Linked DNA regions of Diceros bicornis minor. The protein of the gene in region 2 purifies or fractionates together with the protein of the main gene of each other region. This does not show direct contact. Links are inferred from orthologs where the notes say so. Each region holds a gene or a part of one and is shown on either strand. Other genes may lie near its edges. The genes, in order: COPZ1 and ARCN1.

What was found.
Region 1: the proteins of ARCN1 (region 2) and COPZ1 fractionate together in Homo sapiens (co-fractionation; 5 studies listed by BioGRID and IntAct, with this or other methods). This does not show direct contact. The link is inferred for Diceros bicornis minor from reciprocal best matches to the Homo sapiens genes ARCN1 and COPZ1.

The regions. Positions count from the first base shown.
Region 1 is NC_080756.1:16,083,217-16,093,573, forward strand, and holds the start of COPZ1 (coatomer subunit zeta-1), read right to left. Parts: upstream 3,820-10,357; 5' UTR 3,774-3,819; coding exon 3,756-3,773; intron 1-3,755. UniProt on the Homo sapiens protein: The coatomer is a cytosolic protein complex that binds to dilysine motifs and reversibly associates with Golgi non-clathrin-coated vesicles, which further mediate biosynthetic protein transport from the ER, via the Golgi up to the trans Golgi network.
Region 2 is NC_080746.1:18,318,419-18,328,584, forward strand, and holds the start of ARCN1 (coatomer subunit delta), read right to left. Parts: upstream 4,712-10,166; 5' UTR 4,582-4,711; coding exon 4,579-4,581; intron 1-4,578. UniProt on the Homo sapiens protein: Component of the coatomer, a cytosolic protein complex that binds to dilysine motifs and reversibly associates with Golgi non-clathrin-coated vesicles, which further mediate biosynthetic protein transport from the ER, via the Golgi up to the trans Golgi network.

The DNA.
Region 1 (10,357 bases), on a different chromosome or scaffold from region 2:
AATTGATACCTTTGCCCAGAGCAGGGGGAGGGGGCATTTAGGCCAAGTACTTCTACTGTTAGTGCCAAAGGAATTTAACAAAAGCCCCATTAAGATGATTCAGGAAGCGAAGGCCACAGAGCAATATCAACCTTTAAGAGTCATTGATGTATTCTGCATAGTTTCCTCCTCTATATACACACATGCTGTTGTGCACTTTGGATGCCCTGGTTTTTGAATGAGGCTTACAATTCGGGATTTGGTCATTGTTTTAGGACAAAAATGTTATTAAGGGGAGAGAAAGGACAGAGTTAAGTCTAGTCCGTAAAGCAATGGAAAAACACTCAGCAAGTGAATCCAGAGAGGATTAGGAAAAATGAAACCTATGAGGAAAGATTTAAGAATCTAGACTGCTACAGTAATTCCACTTTGAGAAAAAAAGGTAAAGGGGAAGGGAAGAAGGGGATAGTCATTATCTTTAAGATTCCTGGGTTATTAATGGAGAATGGTGACCTGCAGAGATCTCTCTCCATTCACAACTAAGAAAGGGAGAACCAGCAGAAAACAGCAGGAGAGGGGAAGCTGAGTCCACAGATGCAGGCTGGGAGCATTATTATTAAGCATTGGGAATGAAGGAGATGAAAGGGTCTCTTCCCTTAGAGACTATAAGGAGAACTGAGAAAGATTAGACAAATCTGCTTGAAAAGCTAGGGCAAGATTACTTAATTCAAGAAAGAAAGGTAGGGCCGGCCCCGTGGCTTAGCGGTTAAGTGCGCGCGCTCCGCTGCTGGCGGCCCGGGCCGTCCCGGGCGCGGACCGACGCACCGCTTCTCCGGCCATGCTGAGGCCGCGTCCCACATACAGCAACTAGAAGGATGTGCAGCTGTGACATACAACTATCTACTGGGGCTTTGGGGGAAAAAATAAATAAATAAAATTAAAAAAAAAAAAGAAAGAAAGGTGACCCATTGTAAAGTACCTAAATGAAGGGAACCTACTGGTATTTAGAAATTCCCATAATCGGATCAAATTTCGATTGATGGTTCTTCTTGACCCCCTTCTAGCTTACCCTTCCCTTCTTCTCAATGTCCTATGGCTGTGTGCCTTGCAGAGGTGAGGATAGAAAAATATGCTTTGATCAGATTTCCTCAGAGGTCCAGCCAAACCAGGAAATAGAAATGTGAAAGAAGGAAGCCTAAAGGAATTTTAGAAGGTGTCTGTCCTCTCTAAAGAGTGGCTTGGTAAGCACCATCTGGGCACAGTAAACTCTTTAGTTCAGTAGAGAGGTAAGGTAAGATCCAGGGATTCCTCATACTTTTCATAATGAAGATGGTAACCTAAGAATAAGGAGATGCTGCTGAGTTGACAGACGAAGGGATGCGATTAAAAGGAGCAGTGAGGAAGGGTGATTCTGTATCAGATGGAGCTAAATTTTGTAGGCCAGCATGTGAGTCTAGTGAGAAGAGAAATAAAAATTCAGGAAATATCACCTGATTCTCAACTAGGGTTCCTCATATGAACGACCGAAAATTATTTAAATTATTTTCTCGCTTCTCCCATGGGCGGTACGAAACTAGTGCCTTTGTGGATACAGAGGAAAGAAGTTGACTCATAACACACAATGAATGCCTTAGGGCATTAAGGCTTAATTCTCTCCCGGAACTCCAGTTGAGAAGGGCTGGAATGGTGAGAAAGGTATATAAATTCTGCGGGCCAGAGGACGGCCTGGTGGCACAGCAGTTAAGTTCATATGCTCAGCTTTGGCGGGCCAGCGTTGGCAGGTTCGGATCCCGGGGGCAGACCAACGCAACGCTTGTCAAGCCATGCTGTGGCGTCATCCCATATAAAGCAGAGGAAGATGGGCACAGATGTTAGCCCAGGGCCAACAGTCCTCAGCAAAAAGAGGAGGATTGGCAACAGATGTTAGCTCAGGGCTAATCTTCCTCACACATGCACACAAAAATTCTGCAGCCTCAAAATATATTCAAATTGTAAAGAGCAAAAAACAAAAAATGTTGGACAGAACCAACACAGAGGAAGGAAAATACTAGTTGAATATCCTAAGAATCCTGGAGACCAGCACAAGAACTGATACCTGTTGGCACTTCGTCCCCAACAAAAGCTTTATGTAACTGATGGATGAAAGTACAATTTTGCATATAGAAGAGGTGGAAAGCCCATGGTGTGCTATCATCAGAGAGGGACTTGCTCTGGGACGATTAGGAACCAGAATCTAATCCTAATTTTGACACTGTGCTTCCTTGAGCAAGCTCTTTTCCCTATACCTGGGTTTCCCCTAACCCTATTACATAGGTTCCTCACAACAAAGAATCAGTATGGTTTTTAAAGCAAAGTTCAGGGGTACCTGACCCGGTTAGCAAGGATCTGTGAATGCGGCATCTTAGGTACAGATCAAAATGCATATTAGGAAGAAGCAAGAAATAGACTTCACTGAGGAAGCAGAGACAGAGAACTGAGGTCAAAGAAAATGTGACCGACAGACTTTCACATATAACTCCCTCAACTCACCACAACACACAGATCCCTTGTTAAAAGGGCTCCCCAAGTATCATCTCTCTCACTCTTTTACCTCTAAGCAGGTTCCCTTCTAAACAGATGTAGGGAGCAGTCTAAAAATTTCTAAAAACTTCCAAAGAAATCAATTCCCTAGAATTTCTCCCAGTCTGCTAACTGTTTAAGAATACTGGTTAACTGCCTGGTATAGAAAATATCTTACTAAAAACTACTCACATTTTAAGCTTTCTATCTAGACTTGACTAACCCATATGACGAGAAGGAATTATCTCTATCTTTGCCATTTTGAAAGAGGGGAATTAAACCCGTATTCTCTTTACCTGTTGAGGATCTGAATGTGTACATGTATTAGAGCTGAAGGAAAAAAAAAAGACAGGAAAGAGGCCTCGAGTTCAACTCAAGGAAGGAGCTGGAAGCTAAACTCCTACACAGAGGTGTGTTAACAACCTCAAATTGCAAAACAGGGCCCTTTTGAGAGAAATGCTCTGGTCCAGTTCTAAAGAAGGAGTTATTCTATTTGTTTAAACAAGCAAAAAGGATCATATGGACAAGGGAGCTAATACACCCCTTTAGCCACCAAAATTCTCATATAACCAGAGGGCGAGTTAGCATCCCAGATCCTACAATAAGAATTCCTAAGGTTTAAATGGGGGAGGGAAAAGGAGAACAGAATAAGGAGTCTGGAAAAATATTCCAAATCCACGCTAACTCTATCAGGTATTCCAGAACTTGGATGGAATACTGATTCTTCATCATGACAAATCCACATAAAAGGGATAAACTGAAGTAAAAAGAAAACAGTTTCTTGACGGAATGATCAACACAGAGTCAAACCATCAGGAGGAGCCTGTGATGACAAACACCTGCCCTCTATTATTACAATTTGGGGCGAGTTTGGAGGTTTGGGGAAACTCAAATCAGGGTATCATCCACAATGCTCAGAATCAGGGGGAACCTGAAGGACCCCAATCCACTGCGCTTATGATCCTATGTGTCTCAAAGAGTCCACGTGCTCCCTTCAACTTTCCACCGACTCTGCCCTCTCCCCGGCGGAGCTTTCTACTCTAAACCGAGGCTTTAGCTCCTGCGCTAGGCCACACGCTTATTCCACAGGCCGGCAGAACCTTCGGTCCCCGAGGATTACCCGGAACTCCTCTTTCTCCCCACTCCCAGTCAAGTTGAACCCCTACTCCCGGCCCCTGTGGACACCGCAGTATCCCAGCTGCCCCCCCGGCTCCTACCAAAATCAGCGCCTCCATCTTGCCCCGCAGCCGGTGCCGACGTGGAGCCGCAAAAGCAACGCCGCCGCTGATTGGCCCTACGCCCTCATGAGGCGCCGCCCAGGATGGGGGTTATTGGACTACCAGGTGCCAGCTATTGCTCTACTGACCAATCAGTGTACTAGCTTGCTTAGCGGAAGCAAGGCGCCCAACCAGAAGGCGCAAGTATTTGATTGTCAGTTTAAACACTCAATAAAACGCCAAAACCTCAAGCCTGAACGGGGCGGGAGGGCCAGTGGGGCGGGGTTGTTTCCATGGGGAACAGGGGAAGCGATTATTAATTTTCGATTGGCTGGGCGAAGGGCATGTGATACCTCCCGTCTGATTTAGCAACTTTAATCCGCACTCCCTTTAGGGGGCGCTGTGTCTCTTTAGCCCTTAACACTGGCAGCGCCTGAGAGAATCCTACCCTAATCCCCATTCCAAGAGCCCCCGTTAGGTCCCTGATATCCATGGTTGCTTTGGCCAACAATGCTAGCTCTCCCCTCAGACTCTCTCAGGTCACTTCAGCAACCTCACAGCAAGTCTGCACAACCATAGAGTAAAGCCAAGAGATGCCCAGCATGTTAACTAGATAAACCAAGGCCACCAGAGGTTGATTGCTGGAGTAACGATCTCCCCATTGTGGTGTTCCTGGCTTTGCTGGGCCCAGGGAAGGACAAGCAGCCAGTGAGTTTCTAAAAACAGATTTTCTTTGGCCGGACGTGAAACGGGATGTTAGAACTTTGGAGACCGAAGAGGAAAGAGTAGGAGGGACAAAGGGGTAAAGGGTCCAGGATAAAGGAGGGTATAGGGAGCAGGGTCTGCGGTTTTCCAGTAGGGACAAGCCGTTGCAAAAACGAGAAAAGAGAAGTTTACCGAATGCAGGGATTTCACAATAGGGAAGGGCTTTGATAAAGTTTAGCTTTCACCTACCTCTCGGTTCCTTGGTCCCCAATCCCCCTTAGATCAGGGACACCTTCTGTTGCCTTATATTATCTCCAAAGTGTTTGTGTTTTTTTTTCCCCCCATCTCTGACAATTATGTCTTTAGGAGCCCTCCAAGAAGGGCATCAAAACGAGGAATTTTTCTAATAATTTCAGAGTAGAGTTAGAGGACCTAAGAAAAAAGTATAGAACAATACAAAACAAACTACAGAGCTAACATATGCTATGAAGGAAAGTATATGACTTTCTGGTGAAGTCACAGGTGACAAGCCTCATATCTGGAAGAAACAAGGGCTTAGCCTTTATCTATTCTGAATGGGGAGTTATTCCAGCATTTAGCACTGTGCCTGGCATCACAAGGTTGTCCTTGGCTTGCTAGCTTAATATTAACATTTATTGACCACTTACTATGTGGCAGGCACATGCTAAATCTTTGAATACACTATTTAAAATATGTTTAAAACCCTTATGAAGTAGATGGTTATTACTCCCATTTTACGGATGAGAAAAGTGGAGCTCGGAACAGTTAAATAATTTACTTAAGGCCATACAACTATTAACTGGCATCCTTACATTTGAGCATAGGAGGTCTGGTTCTAAAGCCATGTTCTTACCCACAATCCACTCCTCTGACTTGTGGTATAGCCTCTCTTTCGTCCCGGTCCTACCTGAAGTACCCTACACCAGAGCCAGATGTTCTAGAGGGACCATGAGGAGGAAAAATGTGTGATGTGGTTGGTTGGGGAGGAGGGGACTCCTCTTTCTTTGATTGTGGAGTAACTGACAAATTTTAACAGTCAGCCATTGTTCCAGAAAATGGCTGATTCTTAGCTCTCCAGCCTATTGAGTAACTATGGGGAGTTAGTGGTGAGGAGAAGACAACTAGCTGAATCGGAAATATTCTTGTCATGACTTTGCCTTAATAAGTGGGAGACTTCTGGCAAGTCCTTGTACCCTCTCTGGACTACAGCTGCCACTTCTGGAAAATGGGGAGGCTCAGACCAGAGTTTTCTAAGGCCCTACCTAGTGTTCAAGTTCTGTGATCATTCCTGCTCCTTTTGTTTCCATCTTCCCTTCACCTGGAAAACCTTCAAGAACCAATCAAACGTAAAATGCATATGTTCCCTCTCCCTCTCTCCCTCTCTCTCCCTGTCTCTGTCTCTGTCTCGCTCTATGTATTTATATGTATACACACATAATATAAAACCATGTATATATGGTTACAAACAATTTATTAAAAATGAGTGGAGGAAAAGACTGAAAGGAAACACAACAAAATGTAACCAGTGGCTGTTTTGAAGTAGTAGGACTTTTTTCAGTGTTTCCATATTTTTCCAGGTATTCTAAAATGTGTGGGTGCTATTTTAAAAGGAGAAAAATAGGGCCGGCCCCGTGGCTTAGCGGTTAAGTGTGTGCGCTCCGAGCTAGCACCGACGCACCGCTTCTCCGGCCATGCTGAGGCCGCGTCCCACATACAGCAACTAGAAGTGTGTGCAACTATGACATACAACTATCTACTGGGGCTTTGGGGGAAATAAATAAATGAAATTTTAAAAAATAAATAAATAAAAGGAGAGAAATGAGCTATTTTTTAAAGAACAAAATCAACATCTTCTTCTCATGAAGCCTTCCCTGATGTCCCAGGTGGAGTTGGACACTTTCTCCTTGCTGCCATCGTTTACGGTCGTAGGCATTTTGTAAGACATCAACATAACACCAGACTTGCCATCTGAGGCAGTGCCTTGTCCCATACATTTGTGTGTGTGTGTATGTGTGTGTGTATGTGAGGAAGATCAGCCCTGAGCTAATATCTGCTGCCAATTCTCCTCTTTTTGCTGAGGAAGATTGGCCCTGAGCTAACATCTGTGCCCATCTTCTTCTACTTTATATGGGACGCTGCCACAGCATGGCTTGACAAGTGGTGCATGGTGCGAGCCCGGGATCCGGGCCTGCGAACCCCGGCCACCGAGCCGAGCAAGTGCACTTAACCGCTACGCCACTGTGCTGGCCCCTGTCCCATTCATTTTATTTCCCTAGCACCTAGCCCTCAAACGGTAAATCCTCAAACAGTAAGTGTTTACTGAATGGAATGAATATTTGTAAAAATGCAAGATACAAAGATGAATGAGCAGTGTCAAAGGGCAGTTCAGGGTTAAATATCAAGAGGCACAGATACTGAGGAGGGAGTGATCCCTGAGGATGGGAGCTGGGGGAGGTCAAGGTCTAAGAGAAGAGGGTGAGTTAGGCCTTGATTCATTCATGCATTGATTAAATGACAGGTGGAGTTTGGTAGGAATAAAGGTATGGAGGTTGGGATGTGTAAGGAATCTTTTTTTTTTTTTACTTTTTAAATTGTAAAGTAAAAAAATATTTTATTTAGTGTTATACACAACATAAAATTTACCATTTTAACCATTTTAAATGTGCAGTTCAGTGGCCTTAAGCACATTGTTATGCAATCATCACCACTATCCCTCTCCAGAACTTTTTCATCATCCCAAACTGAAACTCTGTACCCATTAAACAATAACGCTCGGTTCTCCCCTCCCCCATAGACCTTAGTAACCACTAGTTTACTTTCTGTCTCTACGAATTTAACTGTACTTGTACCTTATATAAGTGGAATCATATAATATTTGTCCTTTTGTGTTTGGCTTATTTCACTTAGCATAATGTCTTCACAGTTGTGTAAGAAATCTTTGAGGGATTGATTTCATAGCACAGAGGATTGAAATAAAGAAATAGGGAAGAGGATGGAGTAAAACTGGAAAGGTACTTTGTGGCCAGATTGTGAAATGCCTTGAATGCAAACCTAAGTAGTGGGACCAGATGACCATGGGAGTTGGAGCTTACACTCTTGGAAAGTGTTATAGCAACATCCTATAAAATTAAACATGGGTACATCCCCTCCTAGAAATTAAAAACATAACCCAGTACATAGTGATACATATATAAGAATGCTTATTGCAACATTGCTTACAATAGCAAAAAATAACATTATTGTCTATCAATAGGAGGATAGTTGAACAGATTATTTTACATCCAGACTGTGGAGTAATATGCAACTAATAAAAAGGAATGTTAAGCCATATGCTTTAACCTGGAGAAATGGTAATGGCATGATTTTTTTGGTTTGTTTGTTTGTTTGTTTAATTTTATTTATTTTTTTCCCCCCAAGCCCCAGTAGATAGTTGTATGTCATAGCTGCACATCCTTCCAGTTGCTGTACGTGGGACACTGCCTCAGCATGGCTGGAAAAGCGGTGTGCCGGTGCGCGCCTGGGATCCGAACCCGGGCCGCCAGCAGCAGAGCACGCACACTTAACCGCTAAGCCGTGGGGCCGGCCCAGGTAATGGCATGTTAAATGAAGAAAAGTATGTTGCAGGGGCTGGCCCCATGGCATAGTGGTTAAGTTTGCGCATTCCGCTTCGGCGGCCCGGGGTTCACAGGTTCAGATCCCGGGAGTGGACCTACACATCGCTCATCAAGCCATGCTGTGGTGGCGTCCCATATATAAAATAGAGGAAGATGGGCACAGATGTTAGCTCGGGACTAATCTTCCTCACCAAAAAAAAAAAGTGGTCAAGAAGGGGACATTTGATAAATACCTGAAAGGAGAAGGAGAATGAATCATGCGGATATTTGGGAGACGAGCATTCTTGGCAAATACAACATAGAGTACAATGTGGAAGAAAGATATTAATATATGTTACCTAGATGGGGAGATGGAAAAAGTGGATTATTAAACAATTTTTCTTTATATACGTTGGTATAGTTTGACTTTGTTACAATAAGCATGTGTTTATGTTTAAAAACTAATAAACACAAAAGTTAGTGTCAAAATGGGGATAAAGTTGTGAGGATTAAGTGAGATAATATGTGTAAAAATATGTGTAAACTGTTAAATGCTCTACCGTTGTTATTTGTTATCTTATAAATAATTGGAAACCATTGAACACTTCTGAGCAAAGACATGAGATTATGAAAGCATTTTTTAATTGAAGGTAAATTCATATGACAAAAATTAACTATTTTAAAGTGTACAATTTGGTGGCGTTAAGTACATTCATAATATTGTGCAACTACCACGTCTATCTAGTTCCAAAACATTTTCATCACCCCCAAAGAAAACCTGGTACCCATTACACAACCACTCCCAATTTCCCCCTCCCCAAACTCCTGGCAACCACCGATTTGCTTTCTGTCTCTATGAATATTTCAAATAAATGGAATCATATAATATGTGACCTTTGCCATCTGGCTTCTTTCACTTAGCAGAATGTTGTCAAGGTGCATCCATTTTCTAGCATGTATCAGCATTTTATTCCTTTTCGTGGCCATATAATTTTCCACTGCTCAGTATACCCTGTTTTGTTTGTCCATTCAATTGATGGACATGTTTGGATTTTTTCTACCTTCTGGCTATTGTGAATAGTGCTGCTATGAACATTTGTGTAACAAATATTTGAGTACCTGTTTTCAGTTCTTTTGGATATATACCTAGGAGTGGAATTGCTAGGTCATATGGTAATCCTATGTTTAACTTTTTGAGGAACCGCCAAACTATTTTCCACAGAAGCTGTACCATTTTACATTCCCAGCAGCAAGGTATGAGGATTCTAATTTTTCCACATCTTCACTAACATTTATTATTTTTCTTTTTTTTTTTTTACAGCCATCCTAGTTGGTGTGAAATGGTGTTTCATTGTGGTTTTGATTTGCATTTCCCTAATGACTAATGATTTGAGCATCTTTTCATGTGCTTGTTGGCCATTTGTGTATCTTCTTTGGAGAAATGTCTATTCAAGTCATTTACCCATTTTTTAATTGGGTTATTTGTCTTTTTGTTGTTGAGCTCTAAGAGTTCTTTATATATTCTGGATACTAAAACTTTATCAGATATATGAGTTGCAAGTATTTTCACCTGTGTGTATGGAAGAAATTTTAATATGATTAATTTGACAACTGTGTGTGTAGGAAGGATTGGAAGAGAGGTGGAAGGCAGAAAGATCAACTAGGAAGCCATTGCAGTTCTTCAGGCTGCAGTGAACACAAAACGGTAACAGGAAATGCCCCCCAAAGATTGTGTACCACAAGTGAAATTAGGAAAAGTCAGAGAGTAATGGATGAGATCACCCACGTGTAGAAGTAGCAAATGACCTGGTGTAGTTTCAGAAAAGCATAATTCTATCAAAATATCTAAAGCTCTAGCAGTCTAATCACTTAAAGTAAAATGGCTGGAGCCCTAACACAATCAAACGCTAACCCAATCAAGTATAATAAAATGGCTGAAGTGAACAGGAACCGAATCCATTGTGTTAACTTGGCTGGAGCGGAAACCCAATCAGTTGAATTGTACCTGGTCTTCACAGAAGGGGGAGATACAATCCCTCCTCCCCAACCAAAACAACAGAAATGTTGTCAATATGTCTCCAGTGACATTTAGGGAAGAAGATTTCCTGTTTGGCTGGCACAAGTGAATCTTATACATTTATAAAGGAGATGGATGCAGTTCTATTAGCCATTAAAATTTTCTAACTAATTCCACTTGTTCACTAAGCAACCTTCTAATTATCATATTTGTCTTCTTCCAAAATCGTCAACTATTTTGATCAGCCAATAGGATTGTCTTGGCTA
Region 2 (10,166 bases):
GTTGTTTTATTCATTTATTTTTTACATTTTTGGAAAAGAACATTTAGACCTAAAAGGAACTTTCAAGAGCCCTGGATTGTTTTATAGACGTAAAAACCAAGGGCCCAGAAGTTAGATCATCTCTTCAGGACTGTTTGAAAAAATAAAATAAAATTCCCCATTAAGTTGAGTTTTTTCAAACAACTCTTCTCTTTTTTTGTGGGTGTGTGTGTGAGGAAGACCAGCCCTGAGCTAAGATCTGCCAATCCTCCTCTTTCTTTGCTGAGGAAGACTGGACCTGGGCTAACATCCACGCCCATCTTCCTCCACTTTATATGGGACGCCGCCACAGCATGGCTTGACAAGCGGTGCAGCTGTGCGCGCCCGGGATCCGAACTGGCGAACCCCAGGCCTCTGCAGCGGAGTGCACGCACTTAACCGCTTGCGCCTCCGGGCCAGCCCCCAAATAACTCTTCTCTTAATAATACTTACAATGGCTTGAGTATATTATTATTTGTTTTTGGATTAAGTAACAACTCTCTCCTACCCAGATTTAACTACATGGATCAGAAAGTTGCTTAAGAAACCTGGAGAATTAGGTTTCTGTTCTGCCTCTGCCACTAATTATATGACCTTGGATAAGTCACTTAGTTGCTTCTTGAAATATCCCTATAACAGGGGGCCAGCCCAGTGGCGCAAGCGGTTGAATGTGCACGCTCCACTGCAGTGGCCCAGGGTTTGCCGGTTCTGATCCCAGGCATGCACCGACGCACTGCTTGACAAGCCATGCTGTGGCGGCATCCCATATAAAGTAGAGGAAGATGGGCACGGATGTTAGTCCAGGGCCAGTCCTCCTCAGCAAAAAAGGAGGAGGATTGGCAGATGTTAGCGCAGGGCTGATCTCCTCACAAAAAAAAAAAAATAATAATAATAATAATTATCCCTAAAATACAGGTTAGTTTATATGAAATCTAAAGTGCCTTCACATCTTTAAGATTCTGTAACTCTAAGCACCTGAAGACTTTACAGCAAAAGAAAATGTACAATACCTCCATTTCACACTCACTGCTCCAGTGGTAACTGCTTTGGACCACATTTTATGTTAATATTAAGCTGCTAGAAGGCAAACTGCCTAACCAAAACAAATCATGTGTGTGTACAGCACAGTCATGTCCCTCATAAGGATGTTTCAGTCAATGACAGACTGCATGTACAACGGTGGTCCCATAAGATTAGTACCATATAGCCTATGTATGTAGTAGGCAATACCATCTAGGTTTGTGTAAGTACACTTTATGATGTTTGCACAAGGACGAAATCGTGTAATGACACACTTCTCAGAACATATCCCCATCGTTAAGCAACATATGGCTATACACATGTGACATAGCTGCCACATCATCCCTTCATGCCCACTAGTGATAGAGGTCCAAGAATAACGAGTAGTAATTCAGAATAAACACGCACAATTCCCTAAAGAAAAAAGTCAACGACTTTCTTGAACCCCTAATGCTTCAGAATTCTTTACTTCCCGAATTAACCAGTCACTTTCTCCTTTGTAACTCACTGTAATGATTATATAAATATATAAAATTCATGATCATATTAACGCTAGTTTCTACAACTGTCATAGGAGACAATTTTATCTTTCCTGTTTGCATGAACTAATTACAGATAAAATCAGAGGGAAGATTACAATAAAATCTAGACCACAGACAAAACCTAAAACTTGAAAAGTTACTCAGTGAGAGTTTTAAGCTTATCACAAGTTTCTGTTCTAAAACACAAGCTTGTAGTGAATAAAAATAAATGGACATAGTTCTCACTTTCTGCAGTGTACTTCCTACTCAGAGAATAAATAGACGGCCATCAAGGAAAACTCAAAAAAATCATTTTCATTCTTTGCTGTCCTTTCAAACAACAATCAAAAAGATAAATAAAAAATACAATAGCTGTGCAGCTGCTGTATTGTACATGAAAAAGGGAAAAAACAAGCAATAATAATCCCCTAATTGGGAACTGTTATGACTGTGTAGAATTTCAGTTTCTCCCGTCATGTGTAGATCTGCCATACAAACCCAAATCTAGCTTTCTAATAACTAATGACTTTTGGAAACTGAACTTACTGGGATCATTTATATTTAATCTGACCACTACAGTAAGTTTACTCATTGCCTATAGTAGTAAATAAGAACAGCACTCTGTAGATAAGCAAAGATTTTACAGATTGGTGCTACCATGAGACTAAATATCAAGTTTATTCGAATGTAAGTTTACTAAGAAAAAGAACTGATTCTAACGATATCTGACAAATTAGGAAAATAAGAATATGTTCTCATTAATTTGCAGAAAACTAGAAAAAAGATGCCTTTTTTTGTACTTCATTTTATAACAAAGTCATCATAAGCCATTTCTTTTTGCATTTGTTCATTTATTTCTCTACTAGGACTTCACAAGGTAGGACATTTTGCACGAATTTCAGTAACTAAAGGTAAAGGAAATTTTTCAAAAATCAATATTTATGTACTGATAGCTGAAACTTAACTCTGAAATGCATTAAAAAAAAGGATGGATAGAAGAATGGATGGATGATTAGATGTGTGAGAAAAACAAGTATAGTGAAATGTTAATTACAGAATCTAGCTGGTGGTTATATTGGTGTTCACTGTAAAATTCTTTCAACTTTTCTAGATGTTTGAAAATTTTATACTAAAATGTGAAGGAAAAATCAACTTTCAGGAGTTTTGATACAACTTTTAGATGCAAGAAATCTTACCAAATGTCACCCTATTTGGACGTTTCTACTGTCCAGGGATCTCTTCCTAAAGGAATAGGGCCCAAAAACATTACACAGCAATAACACTTAATAACGTCTTAAGATTCAACAGAGCAGAATGTACTGAGATAAGCTGTTCTCTAGAGTACACAAATCTGTGATATCTGGATCATGCCAAGTCCTAAATAATTCAAAAAGATATGCATATCTAAATATGACACAACTGTATGTATATGCACGTGTCCGAGTAACACACAAAATTTATATTTTATGTTTATCAGTCAACACCTAGGGCTTTACCATTCCGCAGTTATCGATGAATTAAAAATACTAAGTTCCAAGAACTTTTCAACATACAAAGTTTTTGTAAAGATTATCTATATTTGGTTTATATAAGGCTTTAATTTCGCTATTAAAATTATAACATGCTCTAAAATGCACTACAGATACATCCAAGATGTAAAAAACATCCAAAAAGGAGTTTAAAAATCACTATCCAAATACTAAGCCTCCTAGTGAAAATGAAAAAAGGAGTTTTTGGAAATTTTATGTCCAACGTAAAAGTTTTATGAGGTAATCCTGCTTGACAAAATTTATATGCCTGAAGCTGAAAAAAACCTTTCAGTGGTTTTAAGCCCAAGCATGAATCCCCCCCACCATCTAAGTTCTCATCTAAAAAACGTTGTCAATAGAACTTAACATTACTGGCACCAAATTATATTGTCATCTCTCAAGTGTGCAGGAAAATGCTTTAAATCAAATTATTAATCTATTGACAAAAAGAGAATAAAAAAAGAAAAGAACATCCTTCAAAACACTGAAGGGCATAAAGTTCACTAAAAAATAAATTACTAGCTCGTTTGGAGCCAAAGATTTTCTCCTACTTCATAAATATCCACTAATTGTAGTGATAAAATAAGATTTAGTGGAGTCAGCACTGTTTTGTCCCATCCTCACCCACGTTAATTTTTCCCTACAATAGATGAGAACACAAAGATAACGCATTTGAAGCCAAGTAAGAGGTCCCAGAGTATAACCCGTTTCTACTGCTCCTGTGAGACATCTGATCACGATACGCCACATACACATTTTACTTTACCGGAACAGTAAGTTCCTTGAGGACAGCCTGTGTTTTCTCTAACTCGCTCACATTTGCCCAGTGCTCTATACACAGGGTATACTTAATCCACTGACAAAAGGACACACCTAAATTCTGGAGAAGCAGTGCAAGGTTTCAGGGACAGTTGGGTCCTACAGATTAGTGTTAGAAGGTACTCCTTCCTGTTTTATGCCTCCTTTCATCTATTTCCCCCTTTCACAAACAAAAGAAAAAGTCCTGAACACCAATGGATTTGGAGTTCGAGTATCAATGTCCTACGGAACACCGGGGATGGGAGGAGAGCTGATTACAGAAGGAAGCTAATCCCCGAGAGAGGCCCAGCCTGCTAAGCCCAGGCGCCCATGGAACGGGCGGGACATTAGCGCCGAAGGCCGCAGCATGGGGTCCAAGCGACACCACTACGAGGTTCTCGCAGCGCAAAAACCCCAAGCCCGTTCCAGGGCCCGGAGGGTCCCAGCTGTTTGGGCGGGGGCGGGAGGGGGGTGTGCGCGCGACGACACAGGGACTGGAGCCGGGTCCATCGGATCTCCCGGGAGGCCCGGCACAGGGTGGGCAAGGCCACGCCGCTCCCCCAGCCCTGAGGGAAGCGCCCGGCTGCAGGCCCTCGGGGCGGGGCTCCTGTGGCCCCAGCACCAAGCCGTCCGGCAGGGAGAGCGAGCGAGCAAGGCCAGACCCCGGGAGTTGGACCCGGCTCGGAACTTACCATGGTGAGGGCGGTGGTGGTGCGCACCTGCGCTCCGGCTCCACTGCGGATAGCGCTAGGGTCAGGGGAAGGGCAGTACCAGCCGCTCCAGACCTGCTACCCCCCTGACAGGGGCCGCTGCCGCTTCGCCTCTTGCCAAGATGGCGGCCTGGAGCCACGTCTCCAACCGGAAACGGCGCGGGTCAAAGGGCGGAGGGCGGGGCGCCGTGGGGTGGGGAAATTGTGGGTACCGGCTGGTTCGCCAAGGATGCAAGGGGCTTCGCCCCCCAAGCCGTGGAACTTCATACTTCTGTCTTTTCACCGTTCGTCAGAGCTTTCATTTAGTTTGTGGTACCTCTTACAGTTTATAAAGATCTCACAGCCACTATATCATTTAACATACAAAATAACCTGTGTGCATAAGGGACTAGTATCCAGAATATATAAGGAACTCTTACTACTCAACAATGAAAAGACAAATAGTCCAATTTACAAGTGGACAAAACAGACATTTCTCCAAAGAAGATAGACAAATGACCAATAAGCACATAAAAAGATGCTCAACATCCTTAGTCCTTAGGGAAATGCAAGTCAAAACCACGATGAGATACTACTTCACACCCACTAGGATGGCTATAATAATAATAAATGTCAATGAGAATATGGAGAAATTTGAATCCTCATACACCGCTGGTGTGAATGTAAAATAGTGCAACCACTTTCAGAAACAGTTTAGCAGTGCCTCAAAAAGTTAAACAGAGACAGCCCTGATTGCCTAGTGGTTAAAGTTCTGTGCAATTTCCCTTTGCATAGGGTTGGGTTCCTGGATGCAGAATCACACCAGTTGTCTGTCGGTTGCCATGCTGTGACAGCCGCTAAGGTAGAAGAACTAGAAAGACTTACAACTAGAACGTACAACTATGTACTTGGGTCTTTGGGGAGAAAAAAAAAAAAGAGAGGAAGATTGGCGACAGATGTTAGCTTAGGGTGATCCTTTCCCAGCAAAAAAAAACAAGTTAAACATATAGTTACTATATGATCCAGCAATTCCAGTCCTTGATATATACCAAGAGAATTAAAAACATAAGACCTCACAAAAAATCCTACACTAATGTTCATAAAACTTTATTCATAATAGCCAAAAAGTAGAAACAATCCAAAATGTCCATCAATAGATGAATGGATAAAAAAATGTGGTATATTTATACAATGGACTATTACTCGATCATAAAAAGGAATAAAGTGCTGATACATTATACAACATGTATGAACCTTGAAAATGTTATGTTAAGTGAAAGAAGCCAGTCACAAAAGACCACATCTTATATGATTCCATTTATGTGAAATGTCTATAATAGGCAAATATATAGAGACAGAAAGTAGGGCTGCAAGGGGCTGGAGGAGAAGAGGAATGGCGAGTGAGGTTTATTTTTTGGAGTGATGAAAATGTTCTAGAATTAGATAGGGGTGGTGGTTGCACAATTTTGTGAATATACTAAAAACCACTGAATTGTACACTTTAAAAGGATGATTTTTTGTGTGTGTGTGAGGAAGATCCGCCCTGAGCTAACATCTGCCAATCCTCCTCTTTTTGCTGAGGAAGACTGGCTCTGGGCTAACATCCGTGCCCATCTTCCTCCACTTTGATATGGGACGCCACCACAGCATGGCCTGACAAGTGGTACTCGGTGTGCGCCCAGGATCCAAGCCGGTGAACCACGGGCCGCTGCAGCAGAGCGCGCACACCCAACCACTTGGCCACTGGGCTGGCCCCTAAAAGGATGAATTTTTATAGTTTGTAAATTATATCTTTAAAAAATGTGTGTGGGAAGCAGGGCAGTTACTGTGCTTATGTCCATTTTGTAGATGAAGAAAATGATGACAAGTTTAAGCAATTTACCCAAGGTTGTAGGCCAGTATATAATGGAAACAAGACTCCAATCCAGTCTTCTGATTCTGTTGGTAGTTCTCCCACGCCAAATGTCAGACTTAGAGAATATGTGATTCAGCAGTTCTTCCCTATATCACTGGCTCGACTCTGCAGCACATCCATTGCTGCAATAATGGATAAGCAGCAATCTTTTATTGAGTGTTTATTTTATGTCAGGTACTTTATATATGTTATCCCTATTCCTTTATAACAATCTAGATAAGGGCAGAGGATCAAAGAAGTTAAGCACTTGCCCAAACTCACACAGCCAGTAAGTAGTAGAGCCAGGGTTCAAACCCAGCTTTTCTCATTATGACACACTGCCTCTCTATATCTCCTGTGTATTCCTTAATGTTTATTGACCACTTACAAGGTAGCAGGCATTACTCTAAATTCTTCACACAGATCATCTCATTTAATCCTCACAAGAATTCTCTGAGATTGGTACCATTAATATCTCTATTTTACAGGTGGAGAAACCAAGGTACAGAGAAGAAAGCTATTCTACCACAGGTCTCAGAGCTAGAAAGTAGCAAAGCCAGGATTCGAACAAAGGCTGCTCAACTTCAGAACCTGTACCCTTAAGCACGGCATTATAGAATTCTCACTGTTACTCATTTCAATTCCATCTCCAATGACTTTCTAGTAGAATCTTTACAAAGCTCATGTATTTTTAAACTTTGCATGTCTGGAAGGATATATGTCAAACTGTATTGTTTATTTTTGTTATAAGAAGCACATGTATTTTTAAAAAGATGAACAAATTCTTAATTTAAAAAAAGTAAAAATCCTGCCTGGAATTATTGCTTTATTGAGGCAGCTTCCAGGGGCCTTCAATATGGACTACCGAGGCTCAGGAAAGACCAGTTGATGCTGATTCTTTGGAAATATGATAGTAGCTGAATTAAACTGTGGAAGAAAAGCACCCTGCAAGCATGCTTCATGAGGAGCACCTTAAAGGCAGTAGTCATAGTGGTTTTAAAAGCAGAGACTTGGGAGTTAGACTGCCTTGTGTTTGACTCCCATTTTCAGCACTTACTAGCTGAGTGACTTTAGGCAAGTTGCTTTAACTCTCCTCAGCCTCAGTTACCTAATCTGTAAATTGGCAGTAACATCTATCTCATAAGGTTGTGAAGTTAAACAATATATTAATAAATAAAATTGTATAATCTAAGTGCTCCTACAGGGTGTGGTGGTTAAGATTTGGCACTCTCACTGCCACAGCCCATGTTCCCTGACTGGGAACCACACCATCTGTCTGTCTGTTGTCATACTATAGTGGCTGAATGTTGCTGTGATGCTGAAAGCTATGCCACCGGTATTTCAAATACCAGTGGGGTCACCCATGGTGGACAGATTTCAGCAGAGTTTCCAGACAGACAGACTAAGAAGAAGGACCTAGCTACCCACTTCTGAAAAAATTGGCAATGAAAATCCTATGAATAGCGACTGGCCCAGTGGCATAGTCGTTAAGTTCATGCGCTCTGCTTCGGCGGCCCAGGGTTTGCAGGTTCGGATCCCCGGCACAGACTGCACCGCTTATTAAGCCATGCTGTGGCAGGCATTCCACATATAAAGTAGAGGAAAATGGGCACAGATGTCAGCTCAGGGCCAATCTTCCTCAGCAAAAAGAGGAGGATTGGCAACAGATGTTAGCTAAGGGCTAATCTTCCTCACACACACACACACACACACACACACACCTATGAATAGCAGCCCTGAGCATTGTCTGATATAGCTCTGGAAGGTGAGAGGATGGTGCAAAAAGACATGGCAGAGTTCCGCTCTGCTGTACACAGGGTTGCTAGGAGCCTGAATCAATTCCATGGCACTAACAATACATATCCATTATTATTAGCAATAACAGATGACAAAAAATTTTTTAAATGTTTTGCAGTTCCATTTTTAACCAGAGTGTCTCAGAAGTGGTGTCTCTTGTTTTCTTTTTAAAACCACTTTCCCGCTTTCCCCTGACAGGTTTTCAGGGTCAAATTTCCAATATTCCTTTCTTTGTTTCTCTCTCTCTGACTCCCAAAATTAACTGTGTCTATAGTTTTGGGACATTTGTTCCTTACATCTTCATTCACTCATTCCTTCATTCATCCACCCAAGAGCATTTTTTAAAACCAGCATTTTTTTTTAATAATTTTATTTGTTTATTTATTTTTTTCCCCTAAAGCCCCAGTAGATAGTTGTATGTCATAGCTGCACATCCTTCTAGTTGCTGTATGTGGGACGCGGCCTCAGCAAGGCCAGAGAAGCAGTCAGTCCTTGCGCGCCTGGGACCCTAACCGGGGAGCTAGCAGCAGAGTATGGGCACTTAACCGCTAAGCGACCGGCGGCCCTTACCAGCATTTTTAAAGCGCCCAATTTATGCAACACACTGACACTATGAAGAGGTTAAAAATTTAGACCCAGGCCGTGCCCTAAGGAAGCTCAGTCTTCTTTAGCAAATAAAAATACAGGACACTGGGTTAAATTTGAGTCTCAGATAGATAAACAACGATTTGTTAACGTATGTCCCATGCAACAGGACATCGTGGAGGGAAAGGACTATAATATAATATAAATGCTATAAAAGGACGTACAAAGTATTCCCTGGAGATTTTTGCCTAAATTCTGATGAGACTGATTTAGTAGGAATTGCATGCCCAATGGTCCTTGGCGGGGGGGGGGGGGGGGGGGGGGGCCGGAATGCACGCGGTATTTCCAGATTGGAGGGCTAACTATACGAACCGAAATTCCTCAGCCCGCTTTTTCACCCGTGACCGCTAGATGCCGCCACAGACGCATTTATTGAAACCATAGACAAACAGGAGACTTGATCTCCCAGAGAGGCTTTATCCGAGTCCCTCTTGATCCTCCTCGGATCCTTCTCTGGAAGAGACGTAATGCGCAAGTGAATGGAGAAGGTCGCACGAGAGTGAAAGCAAGTCTCGCGAATTTTTTTTTTCCTGCCTAGCGACTGACAACAGGCCGGTTGCTTCAAGTGGAATCCCTCAAGTGGCCTAGCCTGAGATTGGAGTGAGACTCCAGCCTTAGGCTGGGGTTCTTTCCATCTAGGGGAGACGGATTCAGAGGGGCTACAGGTAATTCGTACTCACCCTAGCAGAAAGAGAATTCCCTTTCTCCCTCCCAAGAGGAATTTTAAAGGACTCCCCTTCCCTCTCCCCAACCCTCTCTACCTCTTTCCATCTCAACAGCTGTTCTTTCTCTCCCTCCTTCACGCCACTACCAACCGTACTGCTTCCTTTACTCCCCAAGAAACTTAAGTGGGATCCGACCTGCAAGACGGGGAGTGTAGATGGGGATGATGCTTTGGGGATTATTGGCTGGGACCGAGAGACTGGAGTTTACCCTCTCTTCCCCCCGACCCCCGCCACGGGGTGATCCCAGAGAGAACTCTTTCTAGAGCCTCTTCAGCCTCCCCTGAGAAACCCCAACAGCCTTGGGGAAACCGATCGAACCTGAGAAGAGAGCCGCCATCTACAGAGGAATCCTGTTCTGCCCTTGCGCGGGGTCTTGTGTATCTTACAGCTTTAAGGAGCTGCTGCAGAAGTTGGCTGTCGTTTCCCTCCACGTTTCCCTCATTCCTTAGCCAGCCTGCCAGCAGTTCCTAAATGAAGAGCTGCAGCAGAATGACTTAACTGCTTGACTTGGGGCGAAGAAGCCTTAAGGA